Linked DNA regions of Saccharomyces cerevisiae S288C. The protein of the gene in region 2 interacts with the protein of the main gene of each other region in a biochemical or structural test. Each region holds a gene or a part of one and is shown on either strand. Other genes may lie near its edges. The genes, in order: CMK1 and CDA1.

Region 1 (7,555 bases), on a different chromosome or scaffold from region 2:
GAAGAGGAAACCGGATGGCATTTTGCCCAATGGTTTGAACGTTGTTAAGTTTCAAGCAGTACATGAATTTCAAAATCTGCATGCCCTGAAAAAGGACAAAATTAATGATTTCGTCAGAGGCCATTTCCATGGTTGTTTTGATTTCGATCTAGACAACACAGTTTATTTCTTTATCGCTGGTAGATATGAATACAAAAACAAAGGTGCTGACATGTTCATTGAATCATTGGCTCGTCTCAATTACAGATTGAAGGTTTCTGGATCCAAGAAGACGGTGGTAGCGTTTTTGATCATGCCTGCCAAAACCAATTCCTTCACTGTGGAGGCACTGAAAAGCCAAGCCATTGTAAAATCTTTGGAAAATACTGTTAATGAGGTCACCGCATCCATTGGGAAGAGAATTTTCGAGCATACGATGAGATACCCTCATAATGGCCTAGAATCAGAGTTGCCCACTAATTTAGATGAGCTGTTGAAGAGTTCTGAAAAGGTTTTGCTGAAGAAAAGGGTATTGGCGCTGAGAAGACCTTACGGGGAATTGCCTCCGGTAGTCACACATAACATGTGCGATGATGCTAACGATCCAATTTTAAACCAAATTAGACATGTTAGATTATTCAATGATTCGAGTGATCGTGTAAAAGTGATTTTCCATCCTGAATTCTTAAACGCCAATAACCCTATCCTTGGTTTGGATTATGACGAGTTTGTTCGCGGCTGTCACTTGGGTGTTTTTCCATCCTATTACGAACCATGGGGGTACACGCCAGCAGAATGTACCGTCATGGGTGTCCCATCTATCACAACAAACGTTTCTGGGTTCGGTGCCTACATGGAAGACTTGATTGAAACAGACCAAGCGAAAGACTATGGTATTTATATTGTAGACCGTCGTTTCAAGAGCCCTGATGAATCTGTCGAGCAATTAGCAGACTACATGGAAGAGTTTGTAAACAAGACCAGAAGACAAAGAATCAACCAAAGAAACAGAACCGAAAGACTATCAGACTTGTTAGATTGGAAGAGAATGGGGTTGGAATACGTTAAGGCTAGACAGTTGGGTCTTCGTAGGGCCTATCCAGAGCAGTTCAAGCAACTGGTGGGTGAAACAATTAGTGACGCCAATATGAATACTCTTGCCGGTGGCAAGAAATTCAAGATTGCCAGGCCTTTGAGTGTACCCGGATCCCCCAAAGTAAGGTCCAATAGTACTGTTTACATGACTCCGGGCGATTTAGGTACCCTTCAAGATGCTAATAATGCAGATGACTATTTTAATTTGAGCACGAATGGAGCCATCGACAATGACGATGATGACAACGATACGTCTGCATACTACGAGGATAATTAAAACCATCTTAACTTCTGCTAACATATCTTACTCTTTTAGCTGAGCATCAAATTAATTTTAGTATTGCACGTTCTGTTATTCTTGTATAAGTACATAGAAATAATAGCAGTAGAAAAAATAGAAGTAATTTTACCTTTACAGTACATATGTGTTAGTATAAGGAACCTTTTACGTGGGATACTTTGCTTACGAAGAAAAGGCTGAAAAAAAAAAAAAAAGAAACTCCCCCCGCGTTTAGAATGGTGCAGCCGAGCTACCTACGCAGGGGATAAAAAGAACGAAAGCCACATCGACTACAAGCCAGAGTATAAATGGTTTCAATTCTCGTAGAGAACTCACAATTATATAATATTGGAAGACACCAGAAAAAATAACGAGTCAATTACTATGGACGACAAAGTTTCAGAAAAGGAGAGCTCCCCAAAACAAACAGAGGAGGATTCTGAAGGTAAAATGGCACATGTGCAGCCTGCTTCGTACGTGAATAAAAAAAAATATGTTTTTGGGAAGACATTAGGTGCTGGTACATTTGGTGTGGTGAGACAAGCCAAAAACACTGAAACAGGGGAGGACGTGGCCGTTAAAATCCTGATCAAGAAAGCACTAAAGGGAAACAAGGTTCAGCTAGAGGCTTTATACGACGAGTTAGACATTTTACAAAGACTGCATCATCCAAATATAGTGGCATTTAAGGATTGGTTTGAATCAAAAGACAAGTTCTACATTATCACGCAATTAGCCAAAGGGGGTGAATTGTTCGATAGGATTTTGAAGAAGGGTAAGTTCACTGAGGAAGATGCAGTGAGAATTTTGGTTGAAATATTGAGCGCAGTCAAATATATGCATTCTCAGAATATTGTTCATAGGGACTTGAAACCGGAAAATTTACTGTATATAGATAAAAGTGACGAATCTCCACTGGTAGTTGCTGATTTTGGTATCGCAAAGAGATTGAAAAGTGATGAGGAACTCCTCTATAAGCCGGCAGGCTCACTGGGTTACGTGGCTCCAGAGGTACTTACTCAGGACGGTCATGGTAAACCTTGCGACATTTGGTCGATAGGTGTCATTACGTATACTTTGCTTTGCGGTTATTCGGCGTTTAGAGCCGAAAGGGTTCAAGATTTCCTTGACGAATGCACAACTGGTGAGTATCCAGTGAAGTTTCATAGGCCTTATTGGGATTCCGTTTCCAATAAAGCAAAACAATTCATCTTGAAGGCTCTTAATTTGGATCCTTCAAAGAGACCGACCGCCGCAGAACTCTTGGAAGATCCATGGATTATTTGTACCGAATTGAAGACGCACAATTTATTGCCTGGGTTAAAGGAAGGATTGGATGCTCGTCAAAAGTTCCGTAATTCTGTTGAGAGAGTCAGATTAAACATGAAGATCCAGAAATTAAGAGATCTGTATCTTGAACAGACAGAGAGTGATTCAGATTTTGACGAAGGAAGTCAAGCAAACGGTTCAGTTCCTCCATTGAAAGCAACGGATACCAGTCAACTATCCAAGAAGCTATCAGAAGAAGAACAGTCTAAGTTGAAGTCCGAGTTAACCAGCAAAGCTTTTGCACAATTAGTTAACACAGTGCTTGCCGAAAAGGAAAAATTTTTAAATATTAACAGAGTCTGTAGTTCTGATAGCGATCTTCCTGGGAGTGATATAAAGTCTTTGGATGAGGCGAAGGAGAAACCAGAGGGGAAGGATACCAAAACAGAAGAATGATAACAGTATGCCGTTTTACCACACTGGCGAATAAATCTTCAATGACTTTGTAAGCTCGAATATGCGCAAGATTTGACTTTGATATTTTGCACTTTTTCGTCCTCACTTTCTACCTTTTTTTTTTATGCCTTAGTTGAAAAGATACGCGTATCTAATTATGTACTAATAGTCTTAATTTTACATTACTTAATTAATCGAAATGCAGCCTGTAAGGAGTTTCACAATCTTCACGTTCGTTGAAAGCTAGTTGTCTAAGTGCGCTGCCTTTTAACTCTACCATCATCAAAAGAAGAATCATTGTCGTTGTCATCATAAATATCAGCTTCGTCGTCTTCTTCATCATCGACATATTCCTCGCTATCATATTCCGTATTATAGTTTACAGTCTGTCGCTGTATCCTTCTCAACTGTCTCTTGCCTGGCTTCATGTCTGCAAATTGCACTTTCATTTGTTCAAACTGACGAAGAATGAAATAGTAATCAGATAAAAATTCCTTTAATATCTGTAACTTCTTTCTCGCAGTGTTATATTTTGCGTCTTTTGGTAGCGGGTTTGTATTTATGGAGGGATTATTATCAGTGGTAGATTTCTGCTCCAATATGTGCGCTTCATTATTCAGTGCTTCTTTTTCTTTTTCATTTCCCTCCTTTTTCTCATCTTGAGGTTTAACAATTTTATAGTCCAAGAACTCCAAGAACTCCAGCAGTGTTGCTGAATCGTGGCATAATTCATACCAATAAACCTTCCCCGATGTATTTCTGCCTCGTGCAACATCATGCGCCAACGATGGTGTGTCATGGTAAAACAATTTGAATTGGGCACTCATCGATTGTCCATCATTTTCAAACAGTGTAAAAGCGTTGTATTCATTATTTTTGAATTTCGATAGCAATGCTTGTAGATTTCTCAAATCAGTGAAGGTGCTCATTTCGAGTGAGTCCCCATAACTGTGTAATCTTGGCATATAAAAATCACCTATATGGGGAACTCTACCAAGGAAGAACTCTTGTAATCGCAATTTATAAAGTCTTTCCGAAAAAGGATTGGCTAATGGTTGATCAGGTAATTCGCCTTCAAACAATGGGACCCACTTGTCGTACAGTGAGAACAAAAGTTCATCCTTTTCGGATTTTACAGCGTTCTTCAATTCCGCTTTAATTTCCTTCAGTATTTCTAGCTTCCTTGATAAATCTGGTTTTTTACCCTCTTTTAGTTGTTTAACAAAATGTTTTTTCTTACTTCTGATTTCATATCTTGATTGAATTAGTGAGCAGAGTTTTTTAAACTGATTTATGGTATTATCTACCCCTTCAATTGTATACCTAGGCACTTGTTGTGTTTGGATGCCAAAAACGGGATCTTTTTTACCATGAGTTAATTTGTATATCTCGTCATGAATAGCAGATGAATGGGAAGCGCACCAGTCAGTTAACGCCCTCAATAAAACAACGCGATCCATTGGTTTGAGCGCCAAAATTCCATTCTTGTCCATTTCTCGATTATACAAAGGATTTGATTCCAATGGGAGTGGTTCATTAGCATTCCAGGTATATATATTTGGCGTTAAAATTTCTGGATGACTGGGATCCACCACTGGTGTTTGTTCATCTTGTTCAAAAAGAGCAGTTTTAGGTTTGGAGATATCTTGGTCACTGGGGAGTTGTTGACGCCATTCTCGTGGATACCCCCATTCGCGAGCTACAAGTCTTAACCGATAAAGAGGATTGGAAAATACTTTCTTGGAGGACGATTTTAGATTCTCCCAGGTTGTTAATGGACCTTTCTTCTTGGCACTTTTACCATCAAAATTTTCAGTAAATGTTAAATCTAACAAGGATAGGAACAGTAAATTCATTTTGTCTTGGCAATAGACGATATCCTTGATGGCCATAAAATCAGGATATAGCAATAAGGAGGTGTCTTCAGGACCCTTCACTATACCAGCTGCGCTTCCATTAGGATCGCCGGGATACAAATCTAAACCGACCTCAAAATCTTGGAATGATAAATTTTGTAGGTCAGAATGGAAAAAAGAACTAAACTTATTTATGAACGCCATCAGCTTAATGATATCTCCAGCATATGGCACAGGCTTCATGTTCGGATTTTTTAACCTAGAGATGACACTATACTGGTTCTTGAAATCAGAAGTAAGCAAGGGTATTACAGAAGTCCAATTGCTAGGGATCAAAGCGGGTTCTACTTGTTCATGGGCTGGTTTAGGTTTCGGCGCCACTTTTTTGTCATTAGTCTTCAGTGTAGGTTTGCCATCCTTAGCAATTGAGGTAGTCTTCTTTTTCTCTACTTTATCATTTGATTTAGAGTTCTGTGTGGAAGGTGCCTTTTTCTTAGGAGGAGCAGGTCTCTTCCTCTTGGGTTTATTCGCCCTTTCCTTTAACTCTTCCTCGTATTCATCATAAATGCTCGTTCTTGGCTTAGGAACACGTCTTGATCTCCTTAAATTATCAGAAGATTGTGAAACACTAACACTTTGATCGGTTTGTAAGGGCATAGCCATTGATACGCGATCATGATCATGGTCAGCAAGCTGTGCGGAAGAGCTGCCCTGGGCTTCTTGCTGCAAATTCTGGATAGAATTGGATGGAGAATCCATAAACAATAGGGGATTGCAAACTTTGCTTGAAGTACTTGGTAAGTGATAGTTTTGTTGGCCGAAACCAATGTGGAAGATATCACCATCTTAAGAAATTAAGTCCATTCATTAGTATAAACTCACGTAATTTCAATGAATTTGTTAAAGTTTCAGCAAATCGTGAAGCACGATATTTCACTTTTATGATCCGAGAGGGAATATTACTAGTACTTCCACGCATAAGGAAAGTCAATGTTAACAAATACCGCCATACCGCCATACCTGTCCTCTGTAGTCACTGCTAATGTTAATGTAAATAAATTACATCTAAAAGTTGTTTTCTCTTCAGTAATTTTAGAAACCGTTAAGAGGAAAAATGGGCACTTCCTTTCTTTGTTTCAGAAATTAAGCTCAAAAAGATGGGCTCGATAAAAGTAGCATACTATTTACTCTATCTTATTTTTATTTTCTATATACTAGTCTATCAGACTCAGACGTCAACGATGTGGAATACGGATGGAATCATTAAATAGTAGCAAGAAGTACTTTATTCTTATTTTTCAAATTGCGGCGCGCCAACAAAACGCGTACAAAAAAAGCAGATTGGATAGTACTTTATTCTTGTTATTTTGTCATTGGAAAGTATAAGCTGGTTGTGGATTACTCTTCACACGATGTGCCTGTTTTTTGTAGGCGGGCTTGTACTTTCTGGGGAGCATGCTGTGTATGTTGTAGGTCTGTGGCAATGTTTGTCGGGAGTGTTCGCTGTTACCATGAGTTGTCTGTGAGTAGTAGCGATTGTAATTGTGGTTGTATCCTACTGGTCTTCTTCGGGAATACCAAGGAATGAAAGAGTTATGAGGAACCTCACTTTGATCCTGGTAATTATTTGGTTGTTGTAGTTGATATTGGCGGGGCTCTGTGAGACAATGATTTTTTTTTGAATATATTTTAAAGCAATCGGCTGATTGGGTAGCCTCAACGCCAAATAACCAAGGAGGGTCGTAGTTATCTTGTGAATGGCTTGAGATTCCCTCATAATATAAAATATTTGCCTTTTTTTTTTCAGTAGGCATTTCCACATTTTCTTGCTTTGCAGGTAAGTCGGTTATATTGATTTCATCCAAAGATAAGGATTTTTGATTTTCAACATGCCTTCTAGAAAATATTTGTTTACCATTCAACTTTGGAGCGAAGAAACTCACCAAACCTGCTTGCTTCAATGGAGATTTGATTTCAGGCGGTGGTTCATCTTGATTTGTTACCGCCAGTTTATCTTGATTGGGATCTAAGGTCCTTGGTAGATCATTAAAAAGACTTGTGATGTCATACACAGATTGGTCTGTGCCCTTAGTTGTTTGTGGATAATTTTCGCCAAGGGAACTTGATGTTTGACTCGTTCCATATAGTTTGAGAATACTGTCTACGTTCTCTATACTAGCTTCTTTAGCTATGTTTTCTGTCTGACTGCGCAGACGTATCAAACCTAAAACTGAGAAAATGCACGCCAATAACGAGCAGAGGGAACAGGGAACAGTTAGCCAGCCACACCAAGTCGTATAAGGATGAAATTGTAACAGGATCACGGTGCATGCAAAGTAACAGGATCACGGTGCATGCAAAAATAGTTGATAAAAGTGTCAATATGTGTAATATAGCGTTGGAAGTAATAAGTGAGACATTAGTTCCTCCAGTCTGAAAAAGAAAAATAATAACCAAGGGAAGTGCAAAAGAAATGAAAGTCAAACATGTAGCAACCGGTATCGAAATCAAAAGTCCTCCTATTGTATGTCTTGCCTTAGGACTCAGCCACCAACGTTCAAGAGAAGGGCCAGGTAATATTTCTTTCGAGGTGTTATATATTAAACGTACTCGAGAGCAG
Region 2 (17,288 bases):
GTCATCAGATTAATAATGACAACGCAACAAACGACCTTAGACGACCCGTATTTGTTTTCCTCAATGAGGTCCAATTTCCCTGTCGGACATCATGAACCTTTCAAGAATATCTCTAATACACCTTTGGTCAAGGGCCCCTTCCATAAAAAAAATGAACAATTGGCACTCTCCTTATTTCACGTATTGGTGAGTCAAGATGTGGAGTTCAATAACCTTGAATTTTTAAACAACTCCGACGATTTTAAAGATGCTTGTGAAAAGTATGTCGAGATTTCTAATCTTGCGTGTATTATTGTTGATCAATTGATTGAAGAAAGAGAAAATTTGCTGAACTACGCAGCAAGAATGATGAAGAATAATTTGACTGCAGAACTATTGAAAGGTGAGCAAGAAAAATGGTTTGATATTTATTCCGAGGACTATAGTGATGACGATTCAGAAAATGATGAAGCTATCATCGATGACGAATTAGGATCTGAGGACTATATTGAACGCAAAGCTGCGAACATAGAGAAAAACCTTCCATGGTTTTTAACTTCAGATTATGAAACTAGTCTTGTCTATGACTCAAGAGGAAAAATTCGTGGCGGGACAAAAGAGGCACTGATTGAACATTTAACCAGTCATGAACTTGTTGATGCGGCTTTCAATGTTACAATGTTAATAACTTTCAGAAGTATATTAACCACAAGAGAGTTTTTTTATGCCCTGATTTACAGGTACAACTTGTATCCTCCTGAAGGGCTGAGTTACGATGATTACAATATTTGGATAGAAAAAAAGTCAAACCCGATTAAATGCCGTGTGGTCAACATTATGAGAACATTTTTGACGCAGTATTGGACAAGAAATTATTATGAACCTGGCATACCACTGATTCTAAATTTTGCCAAGATGGTTGTATCGGAGAAAATACCGGGGGCAGAGGATCTTTTGCAAAAGATAAATGAAAAACTGATAAATGAGAATGAGAAAGAACCAGTGGATCCTAAGCAACAAGATTCGGTATCGGCAGTCGTACAGACAACTAAACGTGACAATAAATCACCGATACACATGTCTTCGTCTTCTTTACCATCTTCTGCTTCTTCAGCGTTTTTTAGATTGAAGAAATTGAAGCTCTTGGATATTGACCCATACACATATGCCACACAATTGACTGTACTTGAACATGACTTATACCTCAGGATCACTATGTTTGAATGCTTGGATAGGGCATGGGGTACCAAGTATTGTAATATGGGTGGTTCTCCGAACATTACGAAATTTATAGCTAATGCTAATACGCTAACTAATTTTGTTTCTCATACCATTGTAAAACAGGCAGATGTCAAGACACGTTCAAAATTAACGCAATATTTTGTTACCGTTGCCCAGCATTGTAAAGAGTTGAATAATTTTTCTTCAATGACTGCCATAGTGTCCGCTTTGTATTCCTCCCCAATCTACCGACTGAAAAAGACATGGGATTTAGTTTCCACTGAGTCGAAGGACCTTCTGAAGAACCTAAACAACCTTATGGATTCCAAGAGAAATTTTGTGAAGTATAGAGAGCTGTTGCGATCCGTGACGGACGTTGCATGTGTTCCCTTTTTTGGTGTATACCTATCTGATTTAACATTTACGTTTGTCGGAAACCCAGATTTTCTTCACAATTCAACCAACATAATAAACTTCAGCAAGAGGACTAAAATCGCAAATATAGTGGAGGAAATTATAAGCTTTAAAAGATTCCATTACAAGCTGAAACGATTGGATGATATTCAGACCGTTATAGAAGCGTCTTTGGAAAATGTCCCCCACATTGAAAAGCAGTATCAATTATCACTGCAAGTGGAACCGAGATCAGGAAACACCAAAGGCAGTACGCATGCTTCTTCTGCTAGCGGTACAAAAACTGCAAAATTCCTAAGTGAATTTACAGATGATAAAAATGGCAATTTTTTGAAGCTAGGTAAGAAAAAACCTCCTTCTAGGTTATTTCGATAAAAGTTTATACAATTTGCTAATCAAGAAGAACCTTAGCTTTATGTTTGATTGCTACACTCTATTATTTAAGATGGCTGCTTTTACTTAATATTCTTCGTGATAATACTGTACTGGTGGAGTGTTTTTCGTTTTCGAGGATTTGAGAGTACGCTTCATTTGCAGTTCTTCTTGATAAAGTTCGTTTTATATATATATATCTATTTTATATCTTTATATATTTTATTACACCCAGTTAAGTTATCGATCCAAGATTTTAAATGCCCGATTAGAGGAAACTTATTACCTGAAAAAATATCAATTAGTGATTCTATGAAAAGCTATTACCCGCATTCTCATAGTTCGGATTTTCAGATCCAGCAATATAAGAGAACCAAATGTAGCAGAAACGTCAAATAGTAAGCAACAGGAGTTACATTTGAGGTGATTTTAACTTAGGGAAACATTTGCTGATTCAATGTTCAAACAGCTGTCACAAATTGGTAAGAATCTTACCGATGAATTAGCGAAGGGCTTAGCCGATGATATGAGCCCTACCCCGTCAGAACAACAAATCGAAGATGATAAGAGTGGCTTGCCAAAAGAAATACAAGCTAAATTAAGAAAATTTGAGAAATATGAACAAAAATACCCTTTGCTACTCTCCGCATACAAAAATGAAAAATTAAAGTCAGAGAAGTTAGAGGCTGTTGAAAAGATTTTAGCGGAAAATACACCCATATCTAATATTGACGACGCAGTGGATACGTTGCCAGCTTTTTTCCAGGATTTAAACAACAAAAATAACCTATTGAATGATGAGATCAAGAGATTAACTAAGCAGAACTCGGAAATTCCAGAAAGCGCCTCTAGTGAAACTCTGAAGGATAAAGAAGAGGAATTTTTGAAAAAAGAGCAAAATTATAAAAATGACATAGACGATCTAAAAAAAAAAATGGAAGCTTTAAACATAGAATTGGATACTGTACAAAAAGAAAAAAATGATACTGTTTCAGGTTTGAGAGAAAAAATAGTTGCACTGGAAAATATACTAAAGGAAGAAAGGGAGGCCAAAAAACAGAAAGAAGAAGTATCTATATCCGAACTGAAGGAAGAATTGGCTATAAAGAACCATTCTCTCGAGGACAGTCGAATGAAGATAACCGAATTGGAGCAAAATTTGTCTTCGAAAAGTACTATAATGGAGGAAAAGTCCTCAGAGTTGGCAGAACTAAATATTACTTTAAAAGAGAAAGAGCGCAAGCTGAGTGAATTGGAAAAAAAAATGAAGGAGTTACCGAAGGCGATATCTCATCAAAATGTAGGAAACAATAACAGAAGGAAAAAGAATAGAAACAAGGGAAAGAAAAATAAGGGAGGCATAACTACGGGTGATATCAGTGAAGAGGAAACGGTCGATAACTCAATCAATACTGAAGAATATGATAAGCTTAAAGAAAATTTGCAAGAATTACAAGAAAAATATAAAGATTGTGAAGATTGGAAGCAAAAGTATGAAGATATAGAAGCAGAACTAAAAGATGCTAAAGAATTGGAAAACTCACAGCTCGAAAAATCAGCAAAGGAGCTGGAAACCCTTAACACCGAGTTGATCGATACCAAGAAGTCATTGAAAGAAAAAAATTCGGAGCTAGAGGAGGTGAGAGATATGCTGAGGACTGTAGGCAATGAGCTTGTGGACGCAAAAGATGAGATTAAAGAGTCTTCGAGTAAACAAAATGAAGAAGTGAAAACCGTTAAGCTGGAGCTCGATGATTTACGCCATAAAAATGCAACGATGATCGAGGCCTACGAAGCTAAAAATACTGAGTTGAGAAGTAAGATAGAGTTATTGAGCAAGAAAGTAGAGCATCTGAAGAATTTATGTACAGAAAAGGAGAAAGAGCAGACTACATCGCAGAACAAGGTAGCCAAATTAAATGAGGAGATATCTCAACTTACCTACGAAAAATCAAACATAACAAAGGAGCTTACTTCTTTAAGAACCTCTTATAAACAAAAGGAAAAAACTGTGAGTTACTTGGAGGAACAAGTTAAACAATTTAGTGAGCAAAAGGACGTGGCTGAAAAATCCACAGAACAGCTGAGAAAAGATCATGCTAAAATTTCTAACAGATTAGACTTATTAAAAAAGGAAAATGAGACACTGCATAATGATATCGCAAAGAATTCTAATTCCTACGAGGAGTATTTGAAAGAAAATGGTAAATTATCGGAAAGATTGAATATTTTGCAAGAAAAATACAATACCTTGCAAAATGTAAAAAGTAATTCGAATGAACACATAGATTCTATCAAAAGACAATGTGAGGAACTAAATGTCAAGTTGAAGGAATCTACAAAAAAAATTTTATCTTTAGAAGATGAACTAAATGAATATGCTAATATTGTTCAAGACAAAACCAGAGAAGCTAACACATTGAGAAGGTTAGTTTCGGACAGTCAGACAGATGATTCGAGCAAACAAAAAGAGTTGGAGAATAAATTGGCCTATTTAACGGATGAAAAGAATAAATTGGAAGCAGAATTAGACTTACAAACATCCAGAAAGGCCACTGAATTACAAGAGTGGAAGCATACAGTAACTGAGCTGAAATCGGAAATACACGCTTTAAAGCTTCGTGAAGAGGGACTAAAATCAGAGGTTGACGCATTGAAACATGTTAACAATGACATCAAAAGGAAGACTCAAGCCACTTCAGATGATTCCGATCAGTTGGAACAGATCACATCTAATTTAAAACTCTCATTGTCTAAGGCTGATGAAAAGAATTTTGAGCTACAGTCTGCCAATGAGAAACTTCTGAATTTAAATAACGAACTTAACAAGAAATTTGATCGATTACTAAAAAATTATCGTTCATTGTCCTCTCAATTGAATGCTTTAAAGGAAAGACAATACAGTGACAAGTCAGGAAGAGTTAGTAGGTCTGGTTCTATCGGTACTCTAGCTAACGCGAATATTGATTCCTCACCAGCGAATAACTCTAATCCAACTAAATTAGAGAAGATACGATCATCAAGTTCATTGGAGTTAGACTCTGAGAAAAATGAAAAAATTGCATATATAAAAAATGTTTTGTTGGGATTTTTGGAGCACAAGGAACAACGGAACCAATTACTTCCTGTAATTTCTATGTTGTTACAACTGGACAGTACTGATGAAAAAAGACTGGTTATGTCTCTGAAGTAAAAATGTAGCTGAAAGCAGAAGATACGTATATATTGAAACAGTTTTTTTCTTCCTGAAATATATCAAGAAGTTGCTGCATGTCTATATATAAAATACTAAAGCAATTTCTTTTTAAATTGTAATTTAATTCTTCCTTATTTTCTTCAATTCCCTGAAAATTAGGACAAGAATTCTTTTATGTAATCAATTCCGCCGACACAATGAGAAACTGTTGATTGATCATCACCTATCAACTTATTTATTTTAATGGCAAGATCGACAGTTTTTTCCGTTGAATCGTGTTCTAATATTAATCCGGTTCCTGACTTGTTCCAGTTTATTACATTTTGAAGAATTTCTTGTTCAGTTATGACAGAATCATTGAGAAGGAGGCTCCAATCAAAAGTATCGTGATCCCATAAGACGGCTTGTAAGCCAAATTGCCTTGTTATTGCTCTTACTCTATTATCTATTCCGCCATATGGAGGTCTGAACCATTTGGGGGTATGGTTGCCAGTAGCATTCATCGCCCAGATGGACCATTCAATTTGAGCTATAATTTTTTCATTCGATACATTTGGCAAATATACGTGAGACCAGGTATGTGAGCCGATTAAGTGTCCCTCCTTTTGCATTCTTTGATAGATATCTGGATGTTGAACTATATTGACACCTAAATTGAAGAAGGTGGAATTATGCTTCAACCGGTCCAATAATTTAGTAGTGGAAGCAGAAGGACCATCGTCAAATGTCTGGGAAAGTTTGGAACATGTGTACACATCATCGTGTTCGGTGCAGTGATGGCAATCGAAAGAGCACGAGTCCCTTGGAACACTGTCGCAATGGTTTTGATCATATTCCTTATAATCTGGAATTTGACTGAAATCAATGAAATCTAAAGGTATATAAGGTGGATCTAACCCAGGCCATTCTTTTAACCCGGTAAATGCACTAAGCCAATCCGGAAAAGGCGTTTTTGTAGCTGCCCTTTCCAATACAGGAAATTGAAAGTCTATCTGCTTTAAATCTTCCCTATTAGCTTCCGCGTGAACAAATTGCCCCAGACAGGAAAGTGCAATAATACATTGCAAATCAATTGTATTTAGTTGTATTCTCATTTTCAATTGCCGATCCGTAGAAATAATAACAACTCTTTTGCAGTTTGTTTACCCACTGTGGGTTTTTGATAAATAATAGAGGATTACTGAAGGAGAGAGAATATTTTAAATGGATTTTGATAATACTACAAAAGAATAGCCAGTAATTTTTGCGTTGCGTCACAAAATCAAATATCTAGTTTGTTCCCTGACGCATGTTTCTCATGTGTTACCCGTCCTTTTGTAACCTTCACTGCTACAGCCGTACTATGTGGCATTTATGGGTTAATAGAAAGTTCCATTAATCCGACATTAAAATTGGATGGATTAATGGAGAACACAAAGGCAAAAAAACAATGGAAGAACAAAGAAAATTTAGCGGAAGTAAAAATAACAGCCGAAAGCCAAATTCAGGCTTATCTTGCCTACTCTTTCTTTTATCGAATTCCTTTAGGCCGTTGCAATAGAAAAGTAATAAAAACGCATATACGTAAGTTGTAGTCAGTGTAATTGCAATCTATTATGCGCATCAGGTGCGCATACTACATCCATTGGTGCACAAAAAAAGGAACGCAGACAAGAAAATTATTCAGTTTGCTGTTCGTGATGAGCCATCCCTGAATATGACTAATGTTAATGTTCAATTTGGGATCTTATTTTTTTTTGTGCAGTAATAAGAATCTTTGAAAAAAAACTATATAAGCCTATATAGTTTGTAAGATATAAGACAAAACACACCTGCTTTTCCACTACACATTTTCGTTATTATATAAAAAAGACAGCCAAGTATACTTGTCAACAAAATAAACTCATAGCAATTACACTATAAAAACAATAGCATCAAAAATGTCACTAAGAAACATATCAATGATCACAAAAAATTTGCAAACAACTGCCAAGTGTTATGTCCCAAAAAGTTCACCTACATCAACAACTATTCCGGTTATAAGGGATGCTAGTACTACTCAATGTCGCAGAATAACTACCGTCATCAATATTACGAGTCTGAAAGGATATTCTCCATCTCCAAGAACAGTTCATGATAAGCCAATTGTTATTTGCACTGACAACGAAGAGGTAGAGACTGTATCGGAGCACGTAAAAGTATAATTTGAATTAATCTACTCTTAACACTGTTCAAATGTACGTGTAACGTTTTGACGCTAAAAGATTCTAAAAAATTACTTTTTAAAGTTATACCCTCTGACTTTATGTGACATCAGCATCCTAAGTACCTACCGTTCATAATTTGACGCTTTTCCTTATACATTCAAGCATCGATATATATGATTTTTATATATGTCCTCTATTCTAATACATACTTTTTTACTTTTGAAATAACAAAATATTCTTTTTATTTTTGCGAGTTGAATAATTAAATAAGAGATCAAAGATATATAGAGAGAAACTTTATTTCTCGGAAATCTTACTTCTAGTCGTAGCGTTCGATGTAGTCTGTATCACCAATACATTCTGCAATTGTCAATTGGTCACTACCAATAAGTTCGTTGATTTTAATAGCAACCTCAACTGTTCTTCGTGCACCATCGTGCTCTAAGATCAAACCTTTCCGTTTTCCCTTCCAAGTATTTATGTCCATAAGTATTTCTTCCTCTGTTCTGAAATCATCATTAGTGATTAATTTCCAATCAAAAGTATCGAGATCCCACAAGACAACCGTTAGGCCAAACTGTTTTACTATAGCTCTAACCCTATTATCAATTGCACCGTATGGAGGCCTAAAATACTTGGGGAAATGTTTGCCTGTGGCATTCATAGCCCAAATTGACCATTCAATTTGGGCTACAATTTCTTCGTTTGATAAACTTGGCAAGAATTCATGTGACCACGTGTGTGTACCAATCAAATGACCCCTCTCTAAAATATGCTCATATATATCAGGATAATTAACAGTGTTTATCCCCAGAACAAAAAAAGTGGTTCTTTGTCTCAATTTCTTGAGCAATGCCTCTGTCGCCGGGGCCGGACCGTCGTCAAATGTTTGGGAAAGTTTGAAACACGAAGTTACATCATCAACATCGATGCAGTTATAGCAGTCAAATGAGCACTGCTCTCTAGAAATTTTGGGACACTGGCCAGGATAGTACCTATCTAATTCTGGCACTTCAGTAAGATTTATGTAATCTAGCGGAATATAAGGTGGGTCAATTCCAGGCCATTGTGTAAGATTAGTAAATTCTGTTAACCACTCTGGAAAGGGCGTTTGCATATCTACTTCCCCCATCAATGCGGTACTCCCATTTGACGCAAGGCAATTTCCCTGTTTTAGAAAAAATGCTGCGAACAGCACAGATTGTATTGTATTGAAAATTTTCATCTCTTTTCTTGTGTAAAAGTAAATCTATCACTTAATTTTGTTTCTCTATATTCCACTTTGCTTACTTCTAAGCATCTACTTTGTTAGAACTATTGGTCTTTTTGAAAACACAAAAGTAAATCAACCCACTTGTTGGTATTTTTCTCTTTTAATTGCGATTGAATGACGGCCGGTCCGGAAAATGTGACATCTGGAAAAGAGAAATGTTGAAGCTGCTTCCAAGTGCATGAGACAGAATTTTTTTTACAGAAAATAGAAAGCGTTATCTTGTTAAATATTACTAACTAGTATAGTCATTCATTTTTTTCTTCCATAGTTGTAATATCTTTATTTTTTGTAAGAATTAGCGATAGCTGAGATTGCGTTCTTCAACTTCCTGCTCTCTCTTAGTCTTCTATCCAGGGTATCTCACCTTCCTGATTATCTTGTCAATAGCCATGGCTTCGCTGTTTCTTTATTATAAGAAGTATTTTTTGTTTTCTTCAAGAAATTTTTCGTATTAATATCTTTATGTTTTGTTTGCCTTTACTGGCCAGAAATTTTATACTTATTTTGAATAGAACACATTAAGTTCTACAGGTACCTGCAAAATATCGAGACAAAAGTTTGAACGAGAATATAAGGAATGTTGGTCATAAGGCGTAAACTAACAGAAGATGGCGGTAGCAAGATGTTACCAAGGCGACAACTCGCCTAGTATGTCACAATTATCTATAATTTTATTGTTTATATATAATCAAATCAACCGAAAATTACTCTGAACTTGACTCAAGGAGAAACTATGTTATCATATTTGACATGTTCAATTGAACCTCCAGACATGGTCAATCTCACAGCTTCAGCAAATTCTTTCTCACCCTCACACAGTAACTTTGCTGCATCCTTGTTTAACGGGTCATTGGGATTAGGCTCCAAGAACAAGAAAAGAAGCCCGGTTATAATACTCTGCAAATCTAGAGCTGGCGACCAGTCTTCTCGAAGAATATTTAGGCAAACGTTCCCCTTTAAATCGATATTTGGATGAAAGATCTTCTTCAAACATACAACTTTTGGTGGTTCAATCGGATAAACTTCGTTAAAATCCAAATTGAAATTAATAGATCCATAATTATAATATCCTTCATCAGGCCTAACAATTACCTCCAATTTCGGCGATTGTGATCTATCCGCACTATCTGGTGATGTTATTACATTCAAAGTCACTGTTGGTGGGAGGTCCAGCGAATCAAGGTCCCTTTTCAAACGAATTCTTGCTGCCGATAAATTAGGCTGAATAGAACTGCTGTTTTCATTTTCTTTTTGCTTTTTCTTTTGTAATTGGCGTAATTTCAACTATTTGAATAAAGCCAAGAATATACATATCCAGTACACATATACATTCTCACCCCCCAAAAAGATTATGTTAGTATTTTCGATCGCTAAAAACCGCCAATGAGAAACGGAAAGATATAGTTGCATCTACGTACCATTTTTATTATCTTGTTTTATATTCTCTAACTGATTCTTTAATGTCTCTAAGTACATTTATGAATGATTGGCCTTTTTCATCTCATTTTACCTTTTGGCTGATATCATCAAACGGCACGCGCAGGGATGAAGGTACGTTAATAGTATTTTTTTTTTTCAAGAATACTGCGAAGATGTTTGAGTTGTGGGAAAAAACATATTCAACATTAATAACTATTGTAAATCAAGAAAAAAATTAGATCACAAAAAGATAACTACAGCAATCGAAAACGCCACTCGTTTAAGGCAGATGAGATTTACCAGAGGATTGAAAGCCTCTTCATCTTTAAGAGCGAAAGCTATTGGAAGACTAACTAAACTTTCGACGGGTGCACCAAATGATCAAAACAGTAATGGTACAACATTAGATTTGATAACTCATACATTGCCTATTTTTTATTCCACAAATACGTCAAAGATATATACTATACCACTTACATTGAGTGAATGGGAAGTACTAACTTCGCTTTGTGTTGCAATCCCTACCACGCTCGATCTGGTAGAGACAATGCTTAAAGAAATAATTGCGCCTTATTTTCTGGAAACTCCAAGACAAAGAATTTCAGATGTTCTGTCCTCGAAATTCAAGTTGGAACAGATGAGAAATCCGATTGAATTGCTAACTTTCCAGCTGACTAAGTTTATGATTCAAGCTTGTGAACAGTATCCCGTTCTTTATGAAAATATAGGCGGCATCATTTCAACTTATTTTGAGCGTGTATTAAAGATTTTTACTATTAAACAATCTGGTCTACTATCATTAGTGGGCTTTATTAATGCATTTATCCAGTTTCCCAACTCTACAGAGCTTACTAAATTCACCTGGAAAAAGTTAGCGAAACTTGTGCTTCGTGGATCATTTCTAAACGAAGTTGATAAGATTTTGAATTCCTCAGCAACGTTTACCAATGATTCAATCGTCCAGTATTACGATGCTGGAAATGAGCTATCCAGTGCCTACTTATTGGAATTAATATCTCGCTTGCAAGTTTCGCTAATATCTCATCTGTTAAACACTTCACATGTCGGCGCCAACTTGAGTGAGTTCTTACTAAATCAACAATACCAATTTTACAAATTTGATCAAGAAGTAGCCGATGAAAACGATGATACGAAGTGTATTGATGACTTTTTTTTCAACGTAAGAAGCAATAAACAGTTTTTTACAGACATGTGTAAAATTTCCCTGCAATTTTGTTCTGAGTCACATATTCTCGACCTATCTACAGACAACCGTGCAAGATTTTCTTTTGATACTCGAGCCCACTACCTACAAACGCTATGTTTAATTCCGTTTATAGAAGATACAGAAAGCGAGCTTTTTGAAAGTTTTACAAACGTTGTTTCTGAATCTATTGATAAATTTTTCTTATCTGATGTCGTTACACCATCTTTGATAAAAGCAATTGTAGCTTCTGCCTCATTACTGAATTTTTTCACGGAAAAATTGTCATTAACTCTGATTCGTATGTTTCCTTTATTGGTAGCGTCTCCACATATCACGACTGAAACAGTTAATGATGTTGCAAAAATATTCACCACAGGGTTATACCCTCTAAATGAAGATGCAATTGTGAGTACAATTTATTCCATGAACAACTTATTAGCTGTTTCCGAGGACGGATCGCCCGTCCCGGTGCTCCGTGAGCGCCAATTAACAATAACATCTGGAAAAAATATTGAGAAAGACTACTTTCCCTTGCGAAATTCATCTGCCAGTTTGGATGGCACTGGTGCTCTGCTCGGAAATACAACTGTGGGCCAACTTTCCTCCCATGATGTCAATAGTGGAGCTACTATGACATACCATGCCTCTTTGATATCTAATTGTGTGGCTGCAACGACTACAATCGCCTCATACTATAACACCCAAAGCATAACAGCTTTGACTATCTCTATTCTTACGCAAAAAGTTAATTCTATGTCAAAGGAATTAGACGGTGTTATTTTGAATTCTTTGGCAAGACTGGCTCCGAATACTTCACTGACAGAATTTTCGCTTTTACTAAAGTTCTTCAAATCGAGAACTGTTATTGCAACAAAAATTGATGATAGCGCACTATTGAAAAATATTATTAAAGCGAAATGTGTGATATCAAAAGAATTGTTGGCCAGGCATTTTTCAAGTGACTTATATTTCATGTATCTTCATGATCTATTGGACTCAATCATTGCCAGTGGGGAAGTAGAACGATTGGAACATCACAGACCTCAAACGGAGATTTCCCGTGTTGCTGATCAAATCGCTACCTACTTAGAGCCCCTCGCCGCTCTACTACCTGTTCCAGGCGATACGCCATTGGACATCAATAAGGATGAAGTCACTACAAACAAGTTTAGGAACGCCTGGTTTAATTTTGTCATCCATGGGTACCACTTGGGCGGGCCTATTGTCAAACGAAATTTTTCTTTCTTATTAACTATTGCCTATAATTCACCACCGCTGGCTTCTGAATTTCCTGCTAATAACAAGGAGCTTTCATTGGAAATGAATACAATTTTGCGCCGCGGTTCATCTAACGAAAATATCAAACAACAAAAACAGCAGATAACCGAATATTTCAATACCAATATTGTTCAGTACAGAACAACTTCATCGTCTAAAATCATGTTTTTAGCGGCTGCCGTTCTTCTAGAAACGATAAGATGCGAGGCAGGTGATTGTTCGAAGACTCTACTGTACTTCTCAGACCCCTCCATTCTTTCCGGTTCAATTGAGAAGTGTATTGCAGTTTTGTCGGTTTCCATGATTAGAAAATATGCTAGGTTGATTCAAAAGGGTAACGATGCCATATTCAACTCCAAAATGATTGCTCAACAACTTAATAACTTGCTACTTTGCCTTTCTCATAGGGAACCAACTTTGCAGGATGCCGCTTTTCATGCCTGTGAAATATTTATCAGATCTATTCCATCATCGTTATGTCATCATTTGTCTCTCTACACCTTATTAGATATGTTAACAGCCCTATTTGATAGTATCTTGGACTCAGAGGCGCATAAATTTGAACCACGGTATGAATTTAAATTAAAACATTCTAAGACAACAATATTGGTTCCAAGCTCATCGTCCTGGCGCGCTACGACACTATCAAGATTGCACAAGTCAGCTAAAGAATGGGTAAGAATTCTATTGAATAGAAGCAACCAGGATACTAAGATTTTGTTGCAATCATACATATCAGATCTCGGTGAGTACAGCAGGCTAAATTCTGTTGAATTTGGTGTCTCATTTGCCATGGATATGGCTGGTTTGATTTTACCTGCAGATAAGGAATTATCAAGGCTTACTTATTATGGTCCAGAGAAACCTAACACGATTTCTGGATTTATATCTTTACATTCTTGGAGGTCAAAATATCTTTTCGATACCGCTATTACATCATCACCAGAGGATATCAAAAGGCAAATAGGTATTTCCACTCAAAACATAAGAAAAAATTTGACCTTAGGAAATAAGATTATAACTAAAGACGTAACTGATTTTCTTGATATGGCTACCGCGTTGTTAATTCTTGGCAATGGTGCACCAGCGTCATTGATATATGATATTGTGCACATCCCGTTCGAAGTCTTCACCTCTGCATCTTTAAAGATTGCTACAAACGTATGGTTAACAATCATAACTGAGAAGCCCGAAGTTGCACATTTGCTTTTAGTTGAAGTATGCTATTGCTGGATGCGCTCCATTGATGACAATATTGGTCTCTATTCTCGCGATCATGACTTAAAGGGCGAAGAATACCAAAAAATGGAATATTCCCCTTACGACAAAGCAGGTATCAACAGAGATGCAAAAAATGCATCCCAAGCTATGCAACCACATCTTCATGTTATTAAATTTTTTGCTTCCCATTTCGAGGGCACACTATTTCAAAGTGACTTTTTATTGAAAATTTTCACGAAATGTGCGCTTTATGGTATCAAGAATCTGTATAAGGCTTCACTACACCCGTTCGCTAGAATGATTCGCCACGAATTATTGTTATTCGCGACTCTCGTACTAAACGCAAGTTATAAGCAGGGATCCAAGTATATGGGCCGTTTGTCGCAAGAAATCACAAACGGTGCCCTAAGTTGGTTTAAAAGACCAGTAGCGTGGCCATTCGGCTCAAATGAGCTGAAAATCAAAGCAGATTTATCTGTTACTAGGGACCTTTTCCTTCAGCTCAACAAATTAAGCTCGCTAATGTCACGTCATTGCGGGAAAGATTACAAGATCCTGAACTATTTCTTGGCAAGCGAAATCCAGCAGATTCAAACCTGGCTTACTCCGACTGAGAAGATTGAAGGAGCCGACAGCAACGAGCTTACAAGCGATATCGTTGAAGCTACCTTTGCTAAAGATCCAACATTAGCAATAAATCTCTTACAACGATGTTATAGCAAGAAAGCTGAGGATGTTTTAGTGGGCTTAGTTGCAAAACATGCTTTAATGTGTGTGGGGTCCCCAAGTGCTCTTGACCTGTTCATAAAAGGAAGCCACCTGAGCAGTAAGAAAGACCTACACGCAACCTTATACTGGGCGCCAGTGAGCCCGTTAAAATCTATCAACCTTTTCCTTCCCGAATGGCAAGGTAATTCTTTTATCTTACAATTCAGCATATATTCGTTGGAATCACAAGATGTGAACTTGGCATTCTTCTATGTTCCTCAAATCGTACAATGTTTGAGATACGATAAAACCGGATATGTCGAAAGATTGATTTTGGATACTGCGAAAATTAGTGTGTTATTTTCTCATCAAATAATCTGGAATATGCTTGCAAACTGCTACAAGGATGATGAAGGTATACAAGAAGATGAAATCAAACCAACTCTAGATCGTATTAGGGAGCGTATGGTTTCAAGTTTCAGCCAATCTCATCGCGATTTTTACGAACGTGAATTTGAATTCTTCGACGAAGTAACTGGCATATCTGGTAAGTTGAAACCATACATAAAAAAAAGTAAGGCTGAAAAGAAACATAAGATCGATGAAGAAATGAGCAAAATTGAGGTGAAACCTGATGTTTATTTACCTTCTAATCCTGACGGTGTAGTTATTGATATTGATCGGAAGAGTGGTAAGCCACTTCAATCTCACGCAAAGGCGCCTTTTATGGCGACCTTTAAAATAAAGAAAGACGTAAAAGATCCTTTGACAGGTAAAAACAAGGAAGTTGAAAAATGGCAAGCTGCTATCTTCAAAGTCGGTGATGACTGTAGGCAAGATGTTCTAGCGTTACAATTGATCTCGCTATTTAGAACCATTTGGTCTAGTATTGGCTTGGATGTCTACGTTTTTCCCTACAGAGTTACTGCGACGGCACCGGGTTGTGGTGTCATCGATGTGCTACCCAATTCGGTATCCCGTGATATGTTAGGACGTGAAGCTGTTAATGGATTATATGAATATTTCACTAGTAAATTTGGTAATGAATCTACTATCGAATTTCAAAACGCACGAAACAACTTTGTTAAATCCTTAGCGGGATATAGCGTAATTTCGTATTTGTTGCAATTCAAGGATAGACATAATGGTAACATTATGTACGATGATCAAGGACATTGTCTACATATCGATTTTGGGTTTATTTTTGATATTGTCCCAGGTGGTATCAAGTTTGAAGCAGTACCATTCAAGCTGACGAAAGAAATGGTTAAAGTGATGGGAGGTTCGCCCCAGACCCCAGCGTATCTGGACTTTGAAGAACTTTGTATCAAGGCATATCTAGCCGCCCGTCCGCACGTGGAGGCCATAATTGAGTGTGTAAATCCTATGTTAGGAAGCGGTCTCCCCTGCTTTAAGGGTCACAAGACAATTAGGAATCTAAGAGCAAGATTTCAACCTCAAAAAACCGATCACGAAGCTGCACTATATATGAAGGCGCTAATCCGTAAAAGTTATGAAAGTATATTCACTAAAGGTTATGATGAATTCCAAAGGCTCACAAATGGCATTCCGTACTGATATACTTCGCACTTTACATATGCTTATATAAAAATACCAGTTTCCCATCGTCAATTACGCAGACGTAGCCTTCGTTTATTTTCTCTCTTTTTGTATATCATTGTATTAATCATAATCCATTGTATTTTACTTTGTCTTATCTGGCTTTAATGAATGACGCCGGTCACACGCGGGTGCCTGATTCTCGATTGTGCCAAGCCATTTGGGCACGGTGTCAAATTACCTAAAAAATGGCCGAGAGCCGCAAAAGGGAGGTCCGCGGGGCCGGGCAATACCCTTTGTTTTTCGAGCATTTCGGCGCCGAAATCGGCAAAGGTCCTGACCAATCAATAGAGAAATTAGTGCATACGAGAAAAATTTGAACCCTTCAGTTGTTCTCCGCAGGCGACTTTAACCATCAAACCTCCAATCGCTGCCGGTTTTCGGAAAGGCAAGCACAAAAAGGGAGGACAAGGAAAATCTTTTGTTATATATATAATCTTCCGGTTTTAGAGGTTAATTAGGAGGAGTATGTTGCTTAATTCCGTTGTCCCTTGTTCTGTTCACTCTTTCTTAGTTATTACATAGTAGAACGAAGGTAATAAATACTACCATTATTACTATAGATATACAATGCTGTCTGCACGTTCTGCCATCAAGAGACCCATTGTTCGTGGTCTTGCGACAGTCTCCAACTTGACTAGAGATTCAAAAGTCAACCAAAACTTATTAGAAGATCATTCTTTTATTAACTACAAGCAGAATGTGGAAACGCTGGATATCGTAAGAAAAAGATTAAACAGGCCATTTACCTACGCGGAAAAGATTTTGTACGGTCACTTGGATGACCCTCATGGTCAAGATATTCAGAGAGGTGTTTCATACCTAAAATTAAGACCAGATCGTGTTGCCTGTCAAGATGCTACTGCTCAAATGGCTATTTTACAATTTATGTCCGCTGGTTTACCACAGGTTGCTAAGCCAGTCACTGTCCACTGTGACCATTTGATTCAAGCACAAGTTGGTGGTGAAAAAGATTTGAAGAGAGCTATAGATCTAAACAAGGAAGTTTATGATTTCTTGGCCTCTGCCACTGCGAAATATAACATGGGTTTCTGGAAGCCAGGTTCCGGTATCATTCACCAAATTGTTCTGGAAAACTACGCTTTCCCAGGTGCTTTGATCATTGGTACTGACTCCCATACACCAAATGCTGGTGGTTTAGGTCAATTGGCTATTGGTGTTGGTGGTGCTGAT

What was found.
Region 1: the proteins of CDA1 (region 2) and CMK1 form a complex in vitro, tested with the Saccharomyces cerevisiae proteins (2 studies listed by BioGRID, with this or other methods).

What each region holds. Positions count from the first base shown.
Region 1 is NC_001138.5:168,061-175,615, reverse strand, and holds CMK1 (calmodulin-dependent protein kinase CMK1), read left to right. Parts: upstream 1-1,738; coding exon 1,739-3,079; downstream 3,080-7,555. Other genes in the region: glycogen (starch) synthase GSY1, read left to right, coding at 1-1,351; IOC3 (Ioc3p), read right to left, coding at 3,331-5,694; YFR012W-A (uncharacterized protein), read right to left, coding at 6,306-6,392; DCV1 (Dcv1p), read right to left, coding at 7,120-7,555.
Region 2 is NC_001144.5:736,925-754,212, reverse strand, and holds CDA1 (chitin deacetylase CDA1), read right to left. Parts: upstream 8,594-17,288; coding exon 7,688-8,593; downstream 1-7,687. Other genes in the region: Ras family guanine nucleotide exchange factor CDC25, read left to right, coding at 1-1,989; IMH1 (Imh1p), read left to right, coding at 2,444-5,179; chitin deacetylase CDA2, read right to left, coding at 5,338-6,276; DPA10 (Dpa10p), read left to right, coding at 7,102-7,365; NEDD8-conjugating protein UBC12, read right to left, coding at 9,362-9,925, 10,060-10,062; 1-phosphatidylinositol 4-kinase STT4, read left to right, coding at 10,350-16,052; aconitate hydratase ACO1, read left to right, coding at 16,665-17,288. UniProt on the Saccharomyces cerevisiae protein: Hydrolyzes the N-acetamido groups of N-acetyl-D-glucosamine residues in chitin to form chitosan and acetate. Chitosan is a component of the spore wall.